2 linked regions of the Notamacropus eugenii genome follow. The protein of the gene in region 2 interacts with the protein of the main gene of each other region in a biochemical or structural test. Links are inferred from orthologs where the notes say so. Each region holds a gene or a part of one and is shown on either strand. Other genes may lie near its edges.

What was found. The genes of interacting proteins can lie anywhere in the genome.
Region 1: the proteins of RNH1 (region 2) and ANG are reported together in a solved structure, tested with the Homo sapiens proteins (3 studies listed by BioGRID and IntAct, with this or other methods). The link is inferred for Notamacropus eugenii from reciprocal best matches to the Homo sapiens genes RNH1 and ANG.

What each region holds. Positions count from the first base shown.
Region 1 is NC_092878.1:13,450,691-13,460,963, forward strand, and holds the start of ANG (angiogenin), read right to left. Parts: upstream 5,121-10,273; 5' UTR 5,030-5,120; intron 398-5,029; exon of another isoform or gene 303-397; intron 1-302. UniProt on the Homo sapiens protein: Secreted ribonuclease that can either promote or restrict cell proliferation of target cells, depending on the context. Endocytosed in target cells via its receptor PLXNB2 and translocates to the cytoplasm or nucleus.
Region 2 is NC_092873.1:27,883,061-27,893,761, reverse strand, and holds the start of RNH1 (ribonuclease inhibitor), read right to left. Parts: upstream 5,103-10,701; 5' UTR 5,088-5,102; coding exon 4,883-5,087; intron 3,789-4,882; exon of another isoform or gene 3,654-3,788; intron 1-3,653. UniProt on the Homo sapiens protein: Ribonuclease inhibitor which inhibits RNASE1, RNASE2 and angiogenin (ANG). May play a role in redox homeostasis. Required to inhibit the cytotoxic tRNA ribonuclease activity of ANG in the cytoplasm in absence of stress.

The sequences.
Region 1 (10,273 bases), on a different chromosome or scaffold from region 2:
CACTTTTTGCTACAATTCCCAAAGGTTCCTGCAGCCATGATTGAGAAGTCTGGTTGCAAGCATAGGAAGGGGCCAGGAAAGCAACTCAGCCAGTAGCAGAGAAAATGACCTCGGACCTCTAGACTTGGCATTGTCTTTCTGTTCTTTTCTCCACCCACTCATCCACATGGGCAAACAGAAGAGACTTAGGGTTTGGAAACTGGTGAATTCTGAGAAATAGAACTGTTTGGTATCCAGCAAATACCAACTGTTTTGTTAATAGTTTGGCCTTCAGATATTAAAATTTGGGATGGAATACTTACCATCTACTAGGGAGAGTTCTCTGCCTGAAAGACACAAATTCCTCAGGAGGAAGAGAAATCTAAAGAAAAGACTAAAGTTTCAAGCCTTAGTCAACTGGGAGGATCATGCTCTTTGGTCTAAACTCCAAAGAGATTGGTACCTGAACTAGTTATCTCCTGCAAGAGAAATGAGAGGCTTGTTACATGTCCTAGGGCAAAGGTTTTCTACCTTTTCTAAAAGAACTGGAAAAGTCTACTAGCTGACAGAGCAAGTTTTCCCTGAAGATAAGGACTGCATAGTCAAACAGAATCTGGGATGGACTTCATAGCCAGCTTATAACCAGTATTTGGTGGAAACTATGAAATTAGTCATGAGCAGACCTAATAGAAACAGTATGAACACAAAGGCCTTCCAACAGCTCTAAAGAATGAGTTCCTCCTCCATATGTATGCCCTGGACATTGTTGACCTGAGAACTTGGTTAAAGAAAAGGCACAGGCTAAATGCATACATTTTATGATTTAATTAATTAAACAAATCCCCATAAAGATAACAGTTGCATAGCACTACAGAGACAGGATCAAATCTGGCTGGCTGGTACAGAAATCTTCTGGCTTATACACATTTTACAGTGAGAAAGGAACTCTCTTAGTTGGAAAAATTGTAAATTTAGTAAGACAAGACAATTAACAAAGCAATGTCAGTAGGGTTTAGTGACTCCAGGCTGTGTAAACATATGTGTCTGTGACATACAATAAGAAGAAAATCCCGCCACTCTAGTGGCAGGCTTCCTGTCCTAAACAGGTACTCAAAATAGCTGACACAGGAAAGGGTAAACAAAGTTTCAATTGAAATTACAACCCAGGACATCTGTGGGGTTTTTTTTATCACTAAAATGCCAGGAGAAAGGGTCTCCTAAGGGAATTATTAAGTCAGTCCCTTTGCTTCCCTGACACCAAAAGGCCATTAGGTTCAGACTCTTCTTAATTCAAGCTTTAGCCCTTATTAAAGTCCAAAATTTATGTTAAATATTATCAACACACACTTTCTCTATTTGTGTGACTTGCCTATATGTATTCTCAACATGCCTGCTTCTCCATGGGTATTCCCTGCTGATGCGGTATTTGTGATGAAATATGCCCCAGATTTATGAGGGAATGTTTTGTTAAGTACTTTTCTTTCTTTTTACCATTCCACTTGACTTTAAAATTGTCTTTACTTTAAACTAATCAAGATTTTTGGCTGACTATTAAAGTTGAACAAACCACAATGGACAGCCTTCTACTATGGGATTACCCTACATGATGGAAGGTGACCCCAGGTGATGCATTTAGATGTTTCAGGTTTTTGAGGTTTTCGTTAGATGTGATGACATCCTACTGACTTTCTCCCATCCAATTCATCAAAGAAAAAAAAACAAAAAACCACCAGTTAATCTTCTTCAAGAGCAAATATATTCATACCATGTCACTACCAGAAAATCTTCAATGGCAACCCCATTGCTCTTAGGGAAAAAATAGCCCGTTCTTTACCTGGCATTCAAGGCTCTCTACAGTTGGTCTCCAATCTGCCTTTCTAGTCTTATGTCAAATTACTTTTGATTCATATTTGTGTTTATGTTTCAGCTATACTGGAGTGCTCAATTTCCTCTTAGGTTGCTCTGCATTATCAATACTACTATTATTATTTTTTCATATTATTTTTTTCATCCCAAGTGACTAGCACAGTGATTTGAAGATGTAAGGTAGTTATAAAGGGGTTTTTTTTTTTTGAGTGAAGGCATGTTTGCTATCAGATTGAACAAAGAATAAACTGACAGTCAAGCAACATTCTCATACCATCTTGCCTAGACAGTAGAAGGGAAAATAAACGCAACTAACAACTACTGGGAAACACTTTCTTCATGTAGGCAAAGGTACCCTGGGTGCTCAGATAAGTTCAGTTTTGAATAGCTTCCATACAGGCATACATCAGAGATATTGTGGAGTTCAGTTCCAGACTACTGCAATAAAATGATTATCGCAATACAATGAGTAACATGAATTTTTTTCATTTCCCAGTGCATATAAAAGTTATGTTTATACTATACTATAGTCTATTAAGTATGCAGAAGTATTATGTCTAAAAAATGCACATACTTTTAAAAACGCTTTATTGTTTAAAAAATGCTAGCCATTCAATGAGTTGTAATCTTTTTGTTGGTGGAGGGTCTTGCCTCCATGTTGTGGCTGCTGACTGATTGGGGGAAGGTTCAAGGGGCTGTAGCAAATTTTTAAAAATAAGACAGCAATGAAATTCGCTGTGTCCATTTGGCTCTTCCTCTGGTTTAACCACTCAGAAGCCGTTGCAGGGGTAGTAATTGGCCGACTTTCAATATTGTTGTGTCTCAAGGAAATAGAGAAGCCCAAGGACAGGGAGATAAACAAAAGTGAGTCAGTGAAACAGTCAGAACACACTCAACATTTATTAAGTTCACCATCTTATATGGGCATGATTTGTGGCACCCCACAATAATTATAATAGTAGCAACAAAGATCACTGATCAGAGATCACCATAACAGATATAATAAGAATGAAAAAGTTTAAAATGATGTGAGAATTACCAAAATGTGACAAGGGACACTGTGTGAGTACATGCTATTGGACAAATTGTACTGAGAGACTTGTTTGACATGGGCTTGCCATAAAGCTTCAATTTGTTTTTAAAAAAAGAAAAGAAAAAGAAAATGAGAAAAATAGAATTCAATAGAACATCTTCAAAGAACAATAAAGCAAAGTGCAATAAAATGAAGTAGAACTATACTTTTAAAAATACCTGAGCTCTAAAAAAGATGTCAAGCAATGATCTCCTAGGATAAACAGAAAACAAATAGTTACCACTTCTGTCTTAGTAGCAGTGACTGAAACAATCCAAATAGCTAGCCTGGAAATACTTAACCAATACATTCCTTGCCTAATATGAATGTCAAAATGCGGAGGACACCACAGGAATGTGAGCTCAGATGTGCTCTAGAATTGCACGCGCACACACACACACACACACACACACACACACACACGCACACACACACACACATCCTCTGGACAGAAGCACCAACCAGCCGAACCATGAACATTCAGGGCTTCCAATCTGATAATTCTACTGTGACTCCCTACATATCCTGCTTACTTGTCCCTTCCCTCTCTCTGCTGCCACATACCCTGCAAACCACTCTGAGCAACTTATCTCGCACAGGGATTAGAACTTGCATGTACTTTTGCCAATGGAAAAATATCATTGGGGGAATTTCTTGGAAAAGCAACAGATGTGCTCTGCATGTTTCCTGTGGTGATGTTCAGGAATCTTGTTGACTAAAGGAGAATGGGGCCAAAGTCTTGTTTACACACTTATTTTTCTCTATTTGGAAATAGAGACAGGGATTAAATATTCACTCCTCTGCAAACTCTGAGACAAGCATCTAGAATTGAGGTTGTTTGCATATGTAATTGTCTATACAGATTATTCTTTTCAAGACACTTTTCAAATTCAATATTCAACAATGAGTTTCAATCCTCCACCAGTAAACTCCTCCAAGTACTTATAAGTTATTCTTCTACATAAACATGGCAATTCTTAACCCATTTCATTATAACCATTGTTCTCCTTCACATACTCCAATCACAATTGCTATTTGTGGCCAGATCTGTCCTTTCCTTCCCTCCTACAGTGATTTGGGAAAGGCCTCCCTCCAAATATCAATCTATTTTGCTTTGTTTTTAAGGTTCACCTCAGGCACCAGCTCCTTCATATTCCTGGTTCCTCCTCCCAATTCTTTTGCATTCAATTCATATTTTAATAAATGCTTCTTTTGTAGTATATGGGAAGAAGGAGACAGCAATAAGTAGTTGCATTAGGGACCACTTTTTCAACATTAACTGTATACTCTAACTGTAATATCTGCTAAGTAAACATTATATAGCTTATCTTGATGACCAGTCCCAAGTCAGAGTTGCAGATTCCCCTGAAATTCTAATAGGAAGTCTAAGAAACATGTCCATCAGAAATTCCTTTCTTGGGGTCCAGGTATATGCCACTGCAGAAAACACAGTTTTTTAAAACACATATTTTACTTAGGATAAGGGAAAGGGGGGCCATGACCTTTAAACCTCAAAAAGTGGACCCAGACACTAAGCAGAAAAAGAAAGCAAGTTAACTTCAACTTTAAAGGAAGACTGATATGTCCAGCACACTGCCTCCTTACACATTTGCCTTAACTGATCAAATAAGAGTCTGGGTGCCCTTGTTGAGGAATAGCTAAGCATACATATATGAATGTAATGAGGTTGTGTTGCACCCTTAGAAAGAGCTAACATCAACAAGTCAGACAAACTTGGGAAAACTAGCATCAACTGAGCCAGGGTCCAAGTAAACAAAACAATATACATGATGACACAATAACACAGGGAAAACAACACTGAACAACTTCACCAAACGTGCAGTGGGTCAATGGTTGGGTCTTTCAGAGGACTGAGAGTGAAGCATGCCTCTTGCCTCTCAGAAGAGAGAAGGTGGACTATAGATTGTCGGACTTATACAAAATGTTGAATTGTTTTGCTTAGCTGAAATTCTTGGGGTTTGGGGGATCATTTGACTCTGAACTTTTTTTTTAAGGAAAGACAGAGTGAGTCCAGGACTGGAAGTCAAAGACTTTTGTATCCCTCCCTACCCTTTCCCCAAAAAACCAAAATAACAATAAAAAGTAACTCACCGTGTTTTGAGCAACAGTCCTGTTTCCTCCTTCAGTAATGCGGAAGGAGAAGGATGATCTCTTAATAAGGTTTCCTTTTAGGAATGAAAATCTATGAAATGAAAACGGGAGAGGAAAAATTAGCTAAAGTTAACAGATTTATTCTATCACCAGGCGCTCGTTCGTGATAAAAAACCCAAAGTAATGGGAATTTATTGGGCTCTTACTGTGATGAGGTGGCTACAGTGCTAGACTCAGAGTGCGGAAAGATGGCCAAGATAATACAAACAAGTACAATCCCAGAAAGACAAGTTATGTATGAAATGTGGTCTTTGGGGCTCTGCTCATTGGCCAATAGAAGAGTCAGTAAGAGCTAAAGAAAAAGAGGAATGAAAGGAGAAAAGGGGGAGGGTATTAGGAGAGGAAAGGGAAAAGTTGTGGGCGTTGGTGTTGTGTGTAACTGTTCTGTATGCACGTTGGTGTGTGATGTGTACGTGTACATGTTAGTGTGTCTGTGTCTGCTGTATTACGTGATGTGTGGATATGTTTGAGAGTCAACATGTGATGCAGGGGTCCTCTGTTAAACTTGCTCGGAACTAAAGGGATCATTACTGTCCTCTCAGCCTGGGGATGGGTCCTCTTTCCCAGCCTAACACTTGGAAACTCTGGTGGGTGTAGCAGGGTGCGTCCCAAGGTGGGAGTGGCTCTGGTGCAATTCTGAGGCATTGCTTTGGGCCTAGGCGCCCCCGATCAGCGAAATGGGAACCACTGTCGGAATTCGGAAGCTCTTTCCTGGAGTACCTCCAGGGGGCAGCAAAGGGCTGGAAAAATTGAATGCAGGGGTGGAGAGGAGCTGTTACTCCAATGGGGTAGAAACAGCTGGCTTGCACGCATTAAGTAGGGAGGGCGGGGGAGAGAGGTGGACGGGGGACCTTGAAATAGAGTCAGCTTGGTCTAATGTAGATGTCCCCAATACTTTCCCCTTTGCTCTCACTAATATCTCTGTTTAACTCTGTTTCCTTTTAGCAGGGAGGACTGAAGTACAAGAAAAGTTTTAATATATTTCCTTATGTATAGAGAGGGGGAAAAAAGTACGGGCTCGTCCGGGATTTGAACCCGGGACCTCTCGCACCCAAAGCGAGAATCATACCCCTAGACCAACGAGCCCCATACTGGATCGGGTGGTTAAACTCCTTGTCTGTCACATATGAATGCATTTTGTTTCTGGTTTGGAATACATCATGTGGTTATCTTTCTTTCGTCCTCTTTCTCTTCTCATCTACTATTTATCCTGCCATGACATCACTTACCCCTTCCCTGTATTCATTTCCCTTCCCTACCTGCGCCCAAACCCATACTAATAGATTGATTCCACTTTTAACTTTGTCCAACAGAAGTTGTAGTCAGAGGGATCTTGACTAGTACTAAGAGACAAAAGGGAAACTGAGGGATAGGGAGGGAACTAAGAACTTAATTTCTGCCGCGCGGGAGTAAATCTGTCTGGAATTGAGGGACCAATTAACTAGACAGAGACTTACGTCTGGCCTTTCCCCCAGGGAAAGGGGCACACTAGTCTTTGCGCTTTCTTTGTAGCAAGACAGAAAAGCTCCCAGAGGCATTTGCCAACCCTCGCGACTGAGAAATCATCGCCCTTAGCTTAGTGAACTAGTCAGGGAAAGAAGGAAACTTCCTTGCAAGTAGTAGGAGTAGTTTAAATAGATATTTAATTGGATTTAAACATTCGAAAAAAGCCCACCAAAATGAACTATTTCATGACTCCCTTAGCATGTGCTCTTTTGCAACCTCTACTTTTGCTCTGGTAGTTCCCCCTGCCCAGAAGTGCTTTAGTCCCACTTATCTATGCCCCCTAAATCTTGCCCATCTCTCAAAGAGAAGGTCAAACATCGCCTTTTCCCAGAAGCCCTTCTTGTTCTCCAGCAGAATGTGATTTTACCCTGCTCGGAACCCTTAAAACACTGTTACTATCTTTATTGTGTATGACTTTTTAAGATTCACTGAATCCACTGAAAGGATTTGAGGTCATCTTGTCCAACACCCTGCCTGATACATGAATCCATTCTGTAATCTCCCCGATAAATGGTCACCCAAGATCTGCTTGAACACCCTGCAAAGTAAGTCTAATTGTCTTTCATTTAAAAGGCCTTCACAAATCTCTTCTCTAGTCTAAATCAGAGAGAACACATTCAGGGTTAGCCCTAGCCCTAACCCTAACCCTAACCTTAACCCTAGGGACTTAAGTTACTACAGTTTACATACCCTGACCTCTTTTATTTTGTATCCTCCTTGACAGAAACAATGATCACCTTATTCACTACTGTATTCCCCCACAGTGTCTTGTTCCATAGTATTTGTTAAATGAATAAACCTTTAAAAAGTATGTAAAAATGAATCTGGTTCAAATAGCTTATGAACTCCACAGAAGATCATAAAGTCTCACTGAAATGTCAACCGTAAATTTGCTATAGTGTCCTCCTTCGATAGCTCAGCTGGTAGAGCGGAGGACTGTAGAGTTTGCCTGTAGGGATCCTTAGGTCGCTGGTTCGATTCCGGCTCGAAGGAGATGAGTTTTTGCTTTTCCTAGCACCCAGTATTTTCTGTATGGTTGTTTGTGTCTGCGAACACGCTTTATTCAACCCATCCCTCGCGTGCCACAGAAAACCCAAGTTTCTTAGTCTTCTTGCCTTCATCGTCAGAATTTGTACAGTATTTAACATTTGCATTATACGAGTCACAGGTTTACTATGAAGAAAACAAAGACCATAGCATTTAAAGTTGGAAAGAAAGAAATTTGGAGGCAGAGTCTAACCCAAGCCCATCATTTTACAAATAAAGAAACTGAGGCCCAGAGAAGTGATATGCCTTACACAACGCCATAATAATAAATGGTAGAAACCAAATATTTTGGATCCAAACCAGTGCTCCTTTCTGTTTTAAGCTTTTAGTAAACTTTAAAGTTATGTGAATAAGAACTATTATATTGAGGTGGTTAAAATAGGCAAACCCATATGTTGGAAGTGAGACAAGCTGAGAGTGACACGTCAATCTCAGGACGAGACCTGGGAGAAAGAGAAAAGATTGACTTGATTTGCTGGGCCTTAGAGGAAAGAGTTAAGCACAGAAGTTTCAGGGAACCGGATTTAGGTTAGATTTAAGGAGAAACTTCTTCAAACTACAGCTGTCCCAATAAGGAATCAGCTGCCTTGCCTGTCTTCCAGTGGAGGCTGTATGTCAATATAACAGGATTACTATAGAGTCCTGATGAGATGCCAATTAAAAAGAAACCTTTTGCAGTAACATCTAAGATTTCTTTTTTTTTTTATCTTTTTTTTTATTTTTATTTTGTAATGTTTAACAATCACTGCCATACAATTGTGATTTTATCCCCCCCACCTACCCCCCACTCCCCCCCTCCCTCCCCACAACTGCATACAATTCTGTATAGATTCTACATATACTTTCCTATTGAGTATATTTTCACTATAGTCATGCTATGTAGTCAGACTAAGATAAATGAAAGAAATCGTATAACAAATCAGAACATGATACACAAACACATACACATACACAAACATGATCTGCTACAATATGTGAGTGACTTCCATATTCCTCTCTCTGAGTGTGGCAGGCATTTTGCCTTGAGATCCTCCATTGGGATTTTTTTTTTTTTTTGGTAAGAAGTTCTTGTGTTATTACAAAAATCTAAGTCTACCAGAAAAAACTCTCACACACTGTGGTTGTTGCTGTGCATAAAGTTCTCCTGGTTCTGCTCCTTTCACTCAGCATCAGGTCATATAAGTCCTTCCAGGCCTCTCTGAAGTCTTCTTGTTCATCATTTCTTATGGCACAATAGTACTCCATTACATTCATATACCATAATTTATTCAGCCATTCCCCAATTGATGGACATCCCCTTGACTTCCAGTTTTTGGCAACTACATAGAGTGCTGCTATAAATATTTTTGTACATGTGGGACCCTTTCCCATTTTTATGATCTCTTGGGGATATAGTCCTAGTAGCGATATTGCTGGGTCAAAGGGTATGCACATTTTTGTAGCCCTTTGGGCATAGTTCCAAATTGCTCTCCAGAATGGTTGGATGCGCTCGCAGCTCCACCAACAATGAATTAGTGTTCCAACTTTCCCACATCCTCTCCAGCATTTATCATTTTCTTGTTCTGTCATGTTTGCCAATCTTATAGGTGTGATGTGGTACCTCAGAGTTGTTTTGATTTGCATCTCTCTAACCAATAGTGATTTAGAGCATTTTTTCATATGATTATAGATAGCCTTAACCTCTTCCTCTGAAAATTGCCTGTTCATATCCTTTGACCATTTATCAATTGGGGAATGACTTGTATGATTAAACATTTGGATCAGTTCTCTATATATTCTAGAAATGAGGCCTTTATCCCCGAGCTTAGCTGTAAAAATTCTTTCCCAATTTACTACATCCCTCCGGATTTTGGTTGCATTGGGTTTGGTTGTGCAAAAACTTCTCAGTTTAATGTAATCAAAGTTATCCATTTTGCATTTCATAATGCATTCTATCTCTCCTTTAGTAAAGAATTCTTCCCTTCTCCATAGATCTGATAAATACACTATTCCTTGCTTCTCCAGTTTATTCATGGTATCAATCTTTATACCTAAATCATGTACCCATTTGGACTTTATTCTTGTGTACGGTGTCAGGTATGGGTCTATGCCTAATTTCCGCCACACTGTTATCCAGTTTTCCCAGCAATTTTTGTCAAACAATGAGTTCTTATCCCAGAAGCTGGGGTCCTTGGGTTTATCAAACAGAAGGTTGCTATATTCCTTGCCTACTGCATCTTGAGTGCCAAGTCTATTCCACTTGTCTACCTCTCTGTTTCTTCGCCAATACCAAGTGGTTTTGATAATTGCTGCTTTATAGTACAGTTTGAGGTCTGGTAGCGCTAGGCCACCTTCCCAAGCATTTCTTTTCATTAGTCCCTTTGATATTCTGGACCTTTTGTTTTTCTAAGATTTCTTAATTCAGAATATGTTACTATTGGTAAGGGGCTGAGAGAGAAGAGGAGAGGGAGTGTTGTAGTGGGGAAAGGGAAAATATAGAGGAGAGACATGTTTGAGGTTCTAGGACAGTGTTCCTTACGTGAATTCCGGGTCAAAACAGAAACTGAAGGTCTGTATTATTACTGGAAGTTTAAAAAAAAAATCCAAGTAAGAATAGTTTGTTGCCCGGTATTTTGAAGGTTCAGATCAAAT
Region 2 (10,701 bases):
GGAAAAACCCCGTGAAAGGTGGTCTAGCCACACCAGATCTCAAGTTGTATTACAGGGCAGTGGAGGGAGATTGGACACAATTAGATTAACAAGCCTTTACGGATTTGGGCTCCATACATTTTCCTCCAGAAAAGGCCGGCAGACTCCAAAGGGTAACAGTGAGGCGACTCCTGCCCTCCCCCATACAATGGGACCCTCCTTCAGGGATTATGAGATTTGTCCTGGCTCACTTCATTAAAGTCTGGAGTGACCAGATGTACAAAGGAGACAAGGAGCAAGGAAAAACCCGGATGGAAAAGGGCTTCCAATTACTCAGAGGCCACACCTGAGAGCCAGCCAGCAGCCTTCTCGACTCCAAGACAGAGAAGAGCTCAGAACCCAAAGCTGACCACCCATGGGGATGGCCAGGGGAGGAGGTCCCACTGATGTATAGCAGGCCCACTATGGGCCAGTTCTCACTTCGGGGCTTTGGCACAAATATGACCCTGTCCCACATTAAGATATCCTGGACCCCTATCAGTAAATGATATGACACTCAGAGAAAAGACCTCCCCCCAGGCCATAGTGGTCACCAAAGCAATCTGGTACTGGCTAAGAAAAGCGGGATGGCTTGGGTGCCGGATACATTAAGTAATCTGTTGCTGCCTCTTTGTGTCCCCTGGGGGGGTTGTCTGGGCAAAGATACTGGAGGGATTTGCCATTTCGTTCTCCAGCCCAATTTACAGATAAGTAAACTGAGGCACACAAGGTGAAGTGACTTGCTCAGGGTCACATGGCTAGGAAGTGTCTGAGGCCACATTTGAACTCGGGTCTTCCTGACTCCAAGTCCAGCATTCTACTCACCATGCCACCTAGATGTCCATGGTAATCTAGTGTTTGATAAAAACCAAAGATCCCCATTTGGGGGCAAAATGCACTACTTGACAAAAAAATTGCTGGGAAAACTGGAAAGCAGTTTATCAGAAACAGGCACAGACCAACATCTCACATCATATACCGAGCTAAGCTCAAAAAGAGTGAGCAATTTAGGGAAGCGAGGAAAGTTAACCAATCAGATCTATGGATCAGATCTAGGGATAGCTCTGAACCAACAAGACATGAGAGCATTACAAGAAGCCAAACAGGAAAGGGGCAGCTGAGCCCCCCAGTCCAGCCATCTTCTCTCCCTTTCCCACCAGATGGAACCAAAAGGTGACCCAACAAGAATGGTGCCTTCCCTTAGTCTTGTCCCCAGTCCCTTCAGACAGAGTCATGTCAAAGCTCCCTCCCCACTGCCTGGGGATCTGGGCCATGGCCCCCGAGAGGGGAGAAGTGCCCACAGCTTCAGGGTCAGCAGATGGACAAGAAATGGCCTGGGGGAAATCCAGGCACAGATCAAGGCAGCCCATTGCCCTGGCTGGCCTTCTACTGTAGAGATTACAGGTCCCACAAAGCAGGTGTCAGGGGCATTGGGGTCACCTGCTCTCTGTGCCCTCTCCCTTCTAGGTTTCCCTCTTGTTCCTTCCCCCTGGCTAGGGCTGCCTCAAGTGTTTACTATCCCTCTTGAAAGCTAGAGAACTGGGGCAGCAGAAGACCCAGTCAGAGAGTACCCAGGGCCTGCCCAGGTGGTAACCAATGACCTCTAACGGGCCCTGACCCTGGCCTTCCCTCAGGATCCAGTCAGCAGTCAAGTTCTCCCTCCACAGCCCTCCCACCTCTCTCCTCATAGATGCCCCTCTGTTCAAGAAACACTGGGCAACAAATCCCAACCCCGCTCCAGAGACAGGCCTTCCAATGATGGGGTGATGAGACCCCTGAAAAGAAAAGATACAGCCCAATTCTGGAATTTTCCCACATATTCCAGCAGCCCAGACAACTGGCCCATCCCAGACCACACTCCTCAATCCCAGCTAGATCCTTTCCCATTTGTACATAAGTATCAGTTTCAACTCCATCAAGCTGCAGGTCCCCAGCTTTATGGACCTTACAATAAACCAGGGGTGGGGAGCCTTTGGCCCTGAGGCCATATGTGGCCTTCTAGGTCCTCAAGTGCATCCCTCTGACTGAATCCAAACTTCACAGAACTCCCCTTCGTAAAAGGATTTGTTCTGTAAAATCTGGACTTGGCTGTATCCCAAAGAGATTATAAAAATGGGAAAGGGACCCATGTATATAAAACTACTTATGGCCAAGAACTGGAAATCGAGGGGATCCATTGGGGAATGGCTGAGCTGGTTGTAGACAATTGTGATGGAGTACTACTGTGCTGCGGGAAATGATGAGCAGGCAGACTTCAGAAAAACCTGGAGAGACTTAGATGAACTGATGCGGAGAGAAGTGAGCAGAACCGGGAGAGCACTGCACACAGTAACAGCCACATTACATGATGGCCAACTTTGATGGACTTATCTCTTCTTAGCAAAGCAAGGATCTAAGACAACTCCAAAAGACTCAGGATGGAAAATGCATTCACACCCACAGAAAGAACTGGGGAGTCAGAACACACAGAGTATAAATGCTCTTTTGGTTTTGTTTCTTTCTCATGATTCCTCCCCCGATTGGTTCTAATTCTTTACATGACTAATGTGAAAATGTTTAATATGAATGTACGTGTACAGCCTGTATCAGACTACATGCCATTTTAGGGAAGGGGAGGAGAGAAAATTTAGAACTCAAAATCTTACGGAAGTGAATCTCAAAACTAAAAACAAACAAATCAATTTTTTAAAAAGTCAAGGAAAAACTCAGACCCAGTCAAAAGGCCACACCCAAGGACCTAGAAGGCCACACGTGGCCTCAAGGCGCAGGTTCACCACCCTGGCAAACCTTGTCACTTGAGTACAAGGTTTGAGTGCGTGCATTCATTCATTCCAGGCCCCATGAAATTGGTCCCAGGTGACACCGCCCTGTGCCCTGACATTTAGGGTTCCCAGCAACCCAAACTATGTCACCTTCATGCATCTACATTCCTGCCAAATGGGCCTCCAGTACCCATCCGCCCCCAAGCCTTTGTACTGGCTCTCCGTGAGGCCTGGCATATGGTCCCTCCTCCCTCCAACAGGAAGCCTCTCCCCCTCTTAGCTCCCCCTCTCCTTCCCCAGTGAGCATCCTGCCTATAAACCCTCTGAGGGCAGGGGCTGCCCAGCATCTGACAGAACGCTTGGTCAGCAGCAGGCAGCTGGCCAATGTCTTAGGAGTCAGACGGACAGACTGGGGGCTGGGCTGCCACCTGGGAGCTTTCCCAGCTCTGGCCTCTCCCAGGCCCCAGAGCAGGCAAGCACTAGTCTGGCTGGGCCTGGGACCAAAGGGCCACCATTCCACCACTCCCGTGGGCCTCAACAGCATGGTGAATGCTAGGGAACCCCTCCTCCCTTCCTTCCTCTTTCAGCCCCATCCCCTAAAAAGACCTACATCATCGGTCTTCCTGGGACACCCATCGGCTAGGACTGTCACTCCTGAAACTCTCCGGGCTTGATGTTCAAGGCCTTCCTTCCCCGTCCTAACAACAGCTGACCTGTGAAGCCTGGCTCGGCAGCGTCTGGGGACTGCCCCACACTCTCCTCCCCTCCCCTCCCCCAACAGCTGGAAGCAGATCTGGAGCTGTCCCACTCACAGCATCCTTCTTCTGGGCCAGAGCTGCCCAGGGCCAGAGAACCTGGCCAGACTCTGCTTACCTGGGGCTGGAAAGAGGGGGGTCTGCAGAGGTCGGGGGAGACCCAGGGAGCCAGGCAGCAGCAGCAGCAGCTACACACACCAGGCCAGAGACCTGACTCATGTCCCATGACTCAGACTGCCCGCCCATGGCTCCTCCCCCAGGCCCCACCCAGGCTCTCCCAGCCTCCTGGGACCTCCACCCCGGCCCTCAAGGAGGCCAGCCCCATGCTGGATGCAGAGCTGAGCCCCTAGACCCTCCCGGGGAGGACGGGAGAGCAGGGAAGGGGGAGGGGGGGAAAGAGGGGGAGGGGGAAAGGAAAGGAGATGGGGAAGAAGGGAGCCTGGCTGCATAACTGGGGACAGGGGGAATGTCCTGGGCCTGCCCTTCCACCCTGGACAGTGGGGTTCAGCGGGGCTAGGAAAGCTGGAATCTTCTCCACCAATCATTCCATGGGGTGAGGTTTCTAAGGGTTGCTAACAAGATCCCTGCTTAGATCTGGAAGGAAAAAGCCCAGAATTGAGATCTGGTCTCAAATACTAGCCAGCTTCATTCAGTGAAAAGCTTAAATTCTGCTCCAGTTTCCTCAGCCAAGGAGCAGGACCGAGTCTCCAAAGAGACCAACCTGAACATGTCAGACAAGGGCTGGTTCTGATTACACGGTTCCTGTGGGCCTCAGACGGCCCAGTCTTGTTTTACTAGGGGGAAGATGGGCTGGGAGGCGCAGCGATCCCCAGGGGGTCTCCACTTTCTCAGAAAGCCCAGGAGGCCACAGCTATCTCCAAGGGCCTGGGGCCTGCCAGCCTTCCAGGACCACCCCATGTGCGCCTGAGAAGTGGAGGGCAAGCAGCTGGCAGGCCCCGGCACAGGCCAGTAGTTCCTTAGCTGGGTAAGCCTGGACCAGTCACTCTGCTGGTGCCTGCCTCTGTTTCCCCGTCTGTAAATTAGCTGCAACAGCATCTCCATCTCAGGGGTGCTGGGACTGGGTAAAGTGCCAGACCAGTGCCTGGCACCTTGGAGGCACCTGATCCATGTCTGTTCACAGACCAAGGGTTCCCCCCAGATGCTGCCCAGTATGCTCTTTGACCTCCGGACTGATCCCCTACTACCCAGCCGGCCCCCGCTTCTTCATCCACTGGCCCCGCGGCCCCCCTGCGGTGCGGGCCCCGCGGCCCCCCTGCGGTGCGGGCCCCGCGGCCCCCCTGCGGTGCGGGCCCCGCGGCCCCCCTGCGGTGCGGGCCGCGCTCTCACCAGCTTCCCGGAGCGCGGAGCCCCCGCTGAGGGGCCACCGAGGGGGGCCGACCGCTGCCGCAAGCACCCATCGGGGGACCCCGTGGCCCGTGCGCGGCGGGGGTGGGCAGCCCGGCCCGGGGGCTCCCCACCTCGGCCAGCGTAGCCGCCTCCGCCCCAGCATGGGCCCCTCCCGCCCCGCCCCCGCTTCCGCCGCCCCGAGCATGCGCTCTGCGTGGAGGGCGGTGCCGGACACGCGGGCGAGGCCCCGCCCCCGCAGCGAGTCGGGGGGCGTGGGGGAGGGGGAGGGAAGGGCGCGCCCTCCCCCTCCGTCGTCCCCCAGGGTCCTGGAGCCGGGTCCGAGGCCCCAGGCGGTCAGGCGGGGCAGGGCCCGGCAGACTCACCAGCGCCTCGCTCTTTCCTCCCTCCCTCCGGGCCGGGCCAAGGGTCCTGCGGCGGCGGCGGCTGCGCAGCGTCGGAAGAGGCCGAAGGCCCTTTGGGGGGGGGGGGGGGCCGTTAGCCAAGCCACAGGGGCGGGGCTTGTCGGGGCGGGGCCACGGGGCGGGGCCTCAGGGGCGGGGTCAGAGCTGTCTGCCCGGGATCTCGAGATGCGCGCGCAGCCTTCGCCTCTCGGTGCGTAAGCTTGGTTACTGCGTGCGCCCCCCCGAGGCCGCGCGGCTCCCAGGGTCTTGGACGCTGGAGGGCCTTGGCCCCGCTGCCCACCGGGCACGGTTCAGGCAGCGAACGTTTCGATCCCTCCGGTCGTGTGCCGGCCTTTTCCCGTCCCTCCCGGATGCTCGCTGCAGCCTGGCCGCTCCTTCAGCTTTTCGGGGTTCCTCCTCGGGAGCCCCAGCCCCTGCCTGGGGGAACCCCGTTAGCTTCTCCAGCCCCAGCCCCCATCACCGCTGGGCTCTTTCCTCTCCGCCCGGAGCTGGCCAGCCAGCGTCTCTGCGCTCACATCCCGCCACTCGGCTTCTGCCCCAAGGGCCCCCCAGAGATCTGGAAATCCCCATCGTGCCTCCCCGCCGTCCCCGGCCACGCCCTCCGGCTCTCACCTCCCCGTCTTTGCACAGGCTGCCTCCCGCCAGGCCTGCCTCCCTGAATCCCGGGCGCCCCTGCCCCCAGCTGCCAGGGCTCCGCTGCCAGGACCGTATCCAGAGCACGGACGGGAGCCTGTCCTTGCACCACCAGGCTTTGCCTTCATCCCGGGCACTGTCTACACTTCCATCTGGGGAATGGGCCCAGTCCTTGCCCTTCCCCCTCCCCGGGCTGGGCGGGTTCCATAAATGGCTCTGCCCACCAAGACCGCAGGCCTTCGGGTGGCCCCGAGGCTGAACTCCAACTCCCAGCGGGCCTCGGGAAGTCGAGCCATTGCGCAGGCGCCAGGACCTCGGTCCTTCCCGTCTGCCTCCACTGGGTGGCGCTGCTGCTCCGCTGGGGGCGGGGCGGGGCAGGGAGGAAGGGAGGGGGAGGGGCAGAGAGGAGGGAGGAAGGGAGAGCGAAATGGGGGCGAGAGCGGGGAGGAAGGGGGCGGGAAGGGTTGTGCCCCGCCCACAGGCCGGAGCGGGAGGGGGGCCAAGGCGGGGGCCGCCCCGAGCCTTCCCTTCTGTCTCCCCGCGAGCCTCGGGAGCCTGAGCGGCCGCGGCCGCCTCCGCCTGGGCTGCTGCAGGTAAGGGAGCCTCCGGCCCCGGGAGAAGGGATGGGGGGTGCGCATGGCCGCCCCGCCGGGGGGCAGAGCTGCGGCGGAGCTGGGTGTGACCCTGCGCGCATCGTGGGGGCGCGGGGGGGGGGCAGCACCCTGATGGGGGAAGGTGGGGGGCAGCACCCTGATGGGGGGACGTGGGGGGCAGCACCCTGATGGGGGAAGGTGGGGGGCAGCACCCTGATCAGGGGGGAACGTGGGGGGCAGCACCCTGATGGGGGAAAGTAGGGGGCAGCACCCTGATGGTGGGGACGTGGGGGGCAGCACCCTGATGGGGGAAAGTGGGGGGCAGCACCCTGATGGGGGGACAGCACCCTGATGGGGGGGACGTGGGGGGCAGCACCCTGATGGGGAAAGGTGGGGGGCAGCACCCTGATGGGGGGACAGCACCCTGATGGGGGGAACGTGGGGGGCAGCACCCTGATGGGGGAAAGTGGGGGGCAGCACCCTGATCAGGGGGGAACGTGGGGGGCAGCACCCTGATCAGGGGGGAACGTGGGGGACAGCACCCTGATCGGGGGGGAACGTGGGGGACAGCACCCTGATCAGGGGGGGAATGTGGGGGCAGCACCCTGATCAGGGGGGGAACGTGGGGGGCAGCACCCTGATCAGGGGGGGAATGTGGGGGCAGCACCCTGATCAGGGGGGCAACGTGGGGGGCAGCACCCTGGTCAGGGCCCCACAAGCGAGGGGGGGGGTGTGTGGGGGTGTGTGGGCGGCCTGACAGCTGTCGGCAGAGCTGGGGCAGGGCCAGCCTGATCTGGTACTCAGACTTCACCCCAGGCCCTTATGGGCATCCAGGCAAGGTCCAGGTGCCCCTGGCTTACCATCATTGGGCCATTGGGCCCTGAGGCTTTCTCCAGCAGGGCCAGGCTACCTGGAGGGGCTTCTTCTGCCCAGGGGGAGCCTGGACCTGGACCCCCAGGCCCAGAAGTTTGGGTAAATGGCAAACACTGGTGAAAACCTACCCAGCACCATGCTCTTGTTCTCTTGAGGCTGCCTGCAGCCTGAGTTCTTGTGTGTGCTTGTTAGAGTTACTCTCTCTGCCCCTCAGCGCTGGGCTCCTCATTCATCTGCGGGGAGAAGGGAAGCTGGGACCCTGAACTTGTCAGAGAGAGCATTCCGATAATAGCAAACTGGCTGTGGCTGAGCCAAACACCAGCTACTGAGCTCAGGGACTCATGTGATGTGATGACAGGTGGTTCAGTGGTTAGGGCCTCCAATGGGCCAAGGAGAAGCATCGGAGTTCTTAATCCCTGAGCCACCTCAGAGGAGGTCCATAAAGCACCTACTGTGTGGGTCAGGGTTGGACTCTAGTCCCTGCCCTCACAGAGGCGGTTTAGTGAGAATGCATGGCTTTAGCCGTGAGGAAACAACATGAGACCATGGAAAGGCCTTTTGAGGGTACAATGCTGATACTGGCCTCAAGGGCCTTTGTGGACTCAGCTGTCCTAGGTTGTAAGACCTTGAACAGAGGCTGCTGCACAGCTTGCAGGATGTCCAAGGCGTCGGAAATGCTGCTGTTAACAGCAGAACCATTGACATTAGCCATTAATGGTTCTGGCCTTCACTCACTGGGGGACCTTGAGTTTCCTTATCTGGAAAATGAGAGAATTGTACTAGGTGACCTCCAAGGACCTTTCTAGCTCTGACAGGTTAGAATCCTCTGTGCCTCAGTTTCTCTAGCTGCAATGAAGGTATGCCTTCCTTCTCATTAGCTTGGCCTAGCCCCACAGGGGCTGGTGCCGTGTCTACTCACCTTTAAACCCTGATCCTGCCTGTGTGCCTCAGTTTCCCCATCTAACAGCTAGGGTACCACTGGAGTACATAGTGGTAGGTGATCATTGTAATCCCCCCATTTCTTCCCAGAGGCCAGGCAGTTTGCAGATTCTCAGTATTCAGAGAAGCTGATTCACTGACCCAGTGGGCAGGAATGAAAGTCTGGCCAGGGTTCTTGCCTTCACCGACTGGGTCTGCCCACCATGTGGGCCTCCGCTCTCTGAAGGGCTGGCCAGCCTTGGTCTGCTTGGCCCCAGAAGTCAGGAGCCAGAGCGTCAAAGGAAGGCACAAAGATGCCTTGGGATGGCCCAATGGGGTCAGAGCTGCCTGAGAAGGTGTGGAGTCTTCATCACCAGCTGTCTTCACCTGCACTTCTGGTCCATGCCCTTCAGGCATTCTCCAACAAAGGGCCCTGTTCTCTCAGCCTTCTTAGGCTGCTGGGATGAGGCCTGGGCCTAGCTCTGGCTCTCCCTTCATCCCACCCCCTGCTCCTCAGGGATTTCAAGATTCTTTCCTCCTGGAAGCAGACTCACTGAGGGAGTGACTCATTGGCCAGAATCCCCAGCAGGCCTGGGGCTGGGGCATTGGGCAGCCAGCCCAGGGATGCCAACACTGTGTGCAAATGTCCGAATGTGTGGTGGTGTTGCCTCTATCCCCTCTAAGGGCAGGGGAAGACCAGCCAAGTCCTCCAGGGACAAGATAATGTCCCTGTGTGGAAATGAGGAACGGGAAGGGAGAACAGGCTGCTCCCCAGGAAAGTCAGAGAGCCTGGGTAGGCAGCCAAAGGCAGGGTGAGACCTGGGCTCTGGCCTTCACTAGAAAGTTTTCTGCCCTGTGGGCTGTGTGTGTGTGTGTGTGTGTGTGTGTGTGAGAGAGAGAGAGAGAGAGAGAGAGAGAGAGAGAGTGGGGGTGATGGTTTGAGACAGGCAGTACTTTGGCCTTTGGGACTGGAGGTCTCTTTGAGGGGAGGCTTGGCTGTAGACCTGAGAAAACATGAATCCTCAGGGAGCCGGGAGAAATGACTCAGAAACTTACACATGGAAATTCTGAATTTTTTGCCTTCACTAATACATTAGCGAGGACAAAGGTGTCCAAATACTGAGTCTGCTGGCCACCCCTAATGTCTTTGGGACATGAGCCAGAGATCCCACCAGTGCTATCCTCTTGATGATGGGGTGAGGGACTGGGGCGGGGGGGTGTGAGGCCCAATCCCACACTTATTTGCAATTTGACTTTGGATATGTCCCATCCTATCTTTGGGCCTACGTTTTCCCATCTGTAAAATGGGGGAGAGGTCTCTTCCAGCTATGTTGTTCTAAGAGGCAACTTGGTGGGCTGCTGTAGTGGGGTCCAACAGAGAAAGCCTCCTCTGAAGAGTGCAAAGACAGAGGCACACACAGCCAGAGGACAGTGGATTGCTGCCTGGCTCCCAGGGTTCCTGGTCTGGCTGCTGTTGGCTCTGATATACAGCCCGTATTGGTGGCCCTGACACCAGTCCCTCCACACTGCACTAATTTTATTCTGGCCTCTTTTTCCCGCCCCTGCAGCAAAGCTTGCCTGCCCTGGAAAGAAGCTTAAAGTGGTAGGTGAGGGCAATTTCAGAGGAGAGCTAAGCTCTGGTTTTCTTGCGCCTTGCCTCATTGGCTGGAGACAGCTGCCCCAGTTAATGTGGGTGGTCATGCTCAGAACTCTCTGAGAGAGCCCTAGAGCAGAAGTCTGGCTGTCAGGCCGTTACTCCATGCCTCAGTGATCTCACCTGCTAAGTGGGCATAGTCAGGTTGGCAGAGCAGCCTTCAGACCCTTCCTTGATGGGCCTTGAGGGTCCCCTGGGGAGTGCAGGCATCCCAACGAGGGAGTGGCCAATAGCTCTTGGGGGTGGGGGAGGCGGATGGAGCAGCTTCAGCCTAGCGGTAGAGCTGTGGGCCAGGACGGAAGGCCAGTCACTGGGGCTTGTTGGTAAGTGAGGGCTAGGGCAGGAAGTGGGGGTGGGGGCAGCTTGGTGTGGGAGCTTGGCTGAGAAGGGGAGGAGAGGTGGGAGGTCTGGGGGAGTTTGCGGAAAGGGTAGAGGGGCTCTCTCTGAACCAGCCCATGCAAGATCCTGTGCTAGGGAGGAGAACACAGGCCCTGCCTTAGCTGAGCTTGGGTTGGGGCAGGCCAGTGGCAACAGAGAGAGAGAGAGAGAGAGAGAGCACGCTTTCAAGCAGGAAGCCTGTCCTGAGGGCCGAGGTCTGGGGCCCATGGTGGGGGGAGGTATGAGGGAAAGCCGTCAGGGAGAAGGTGCCACTGGGCCTAGGCCTTGAAGGTCCTGCCATGTGTAGAGAAAAGTGGGAGCAAATTTCAGAGTCTGGGAGAGTCGTAG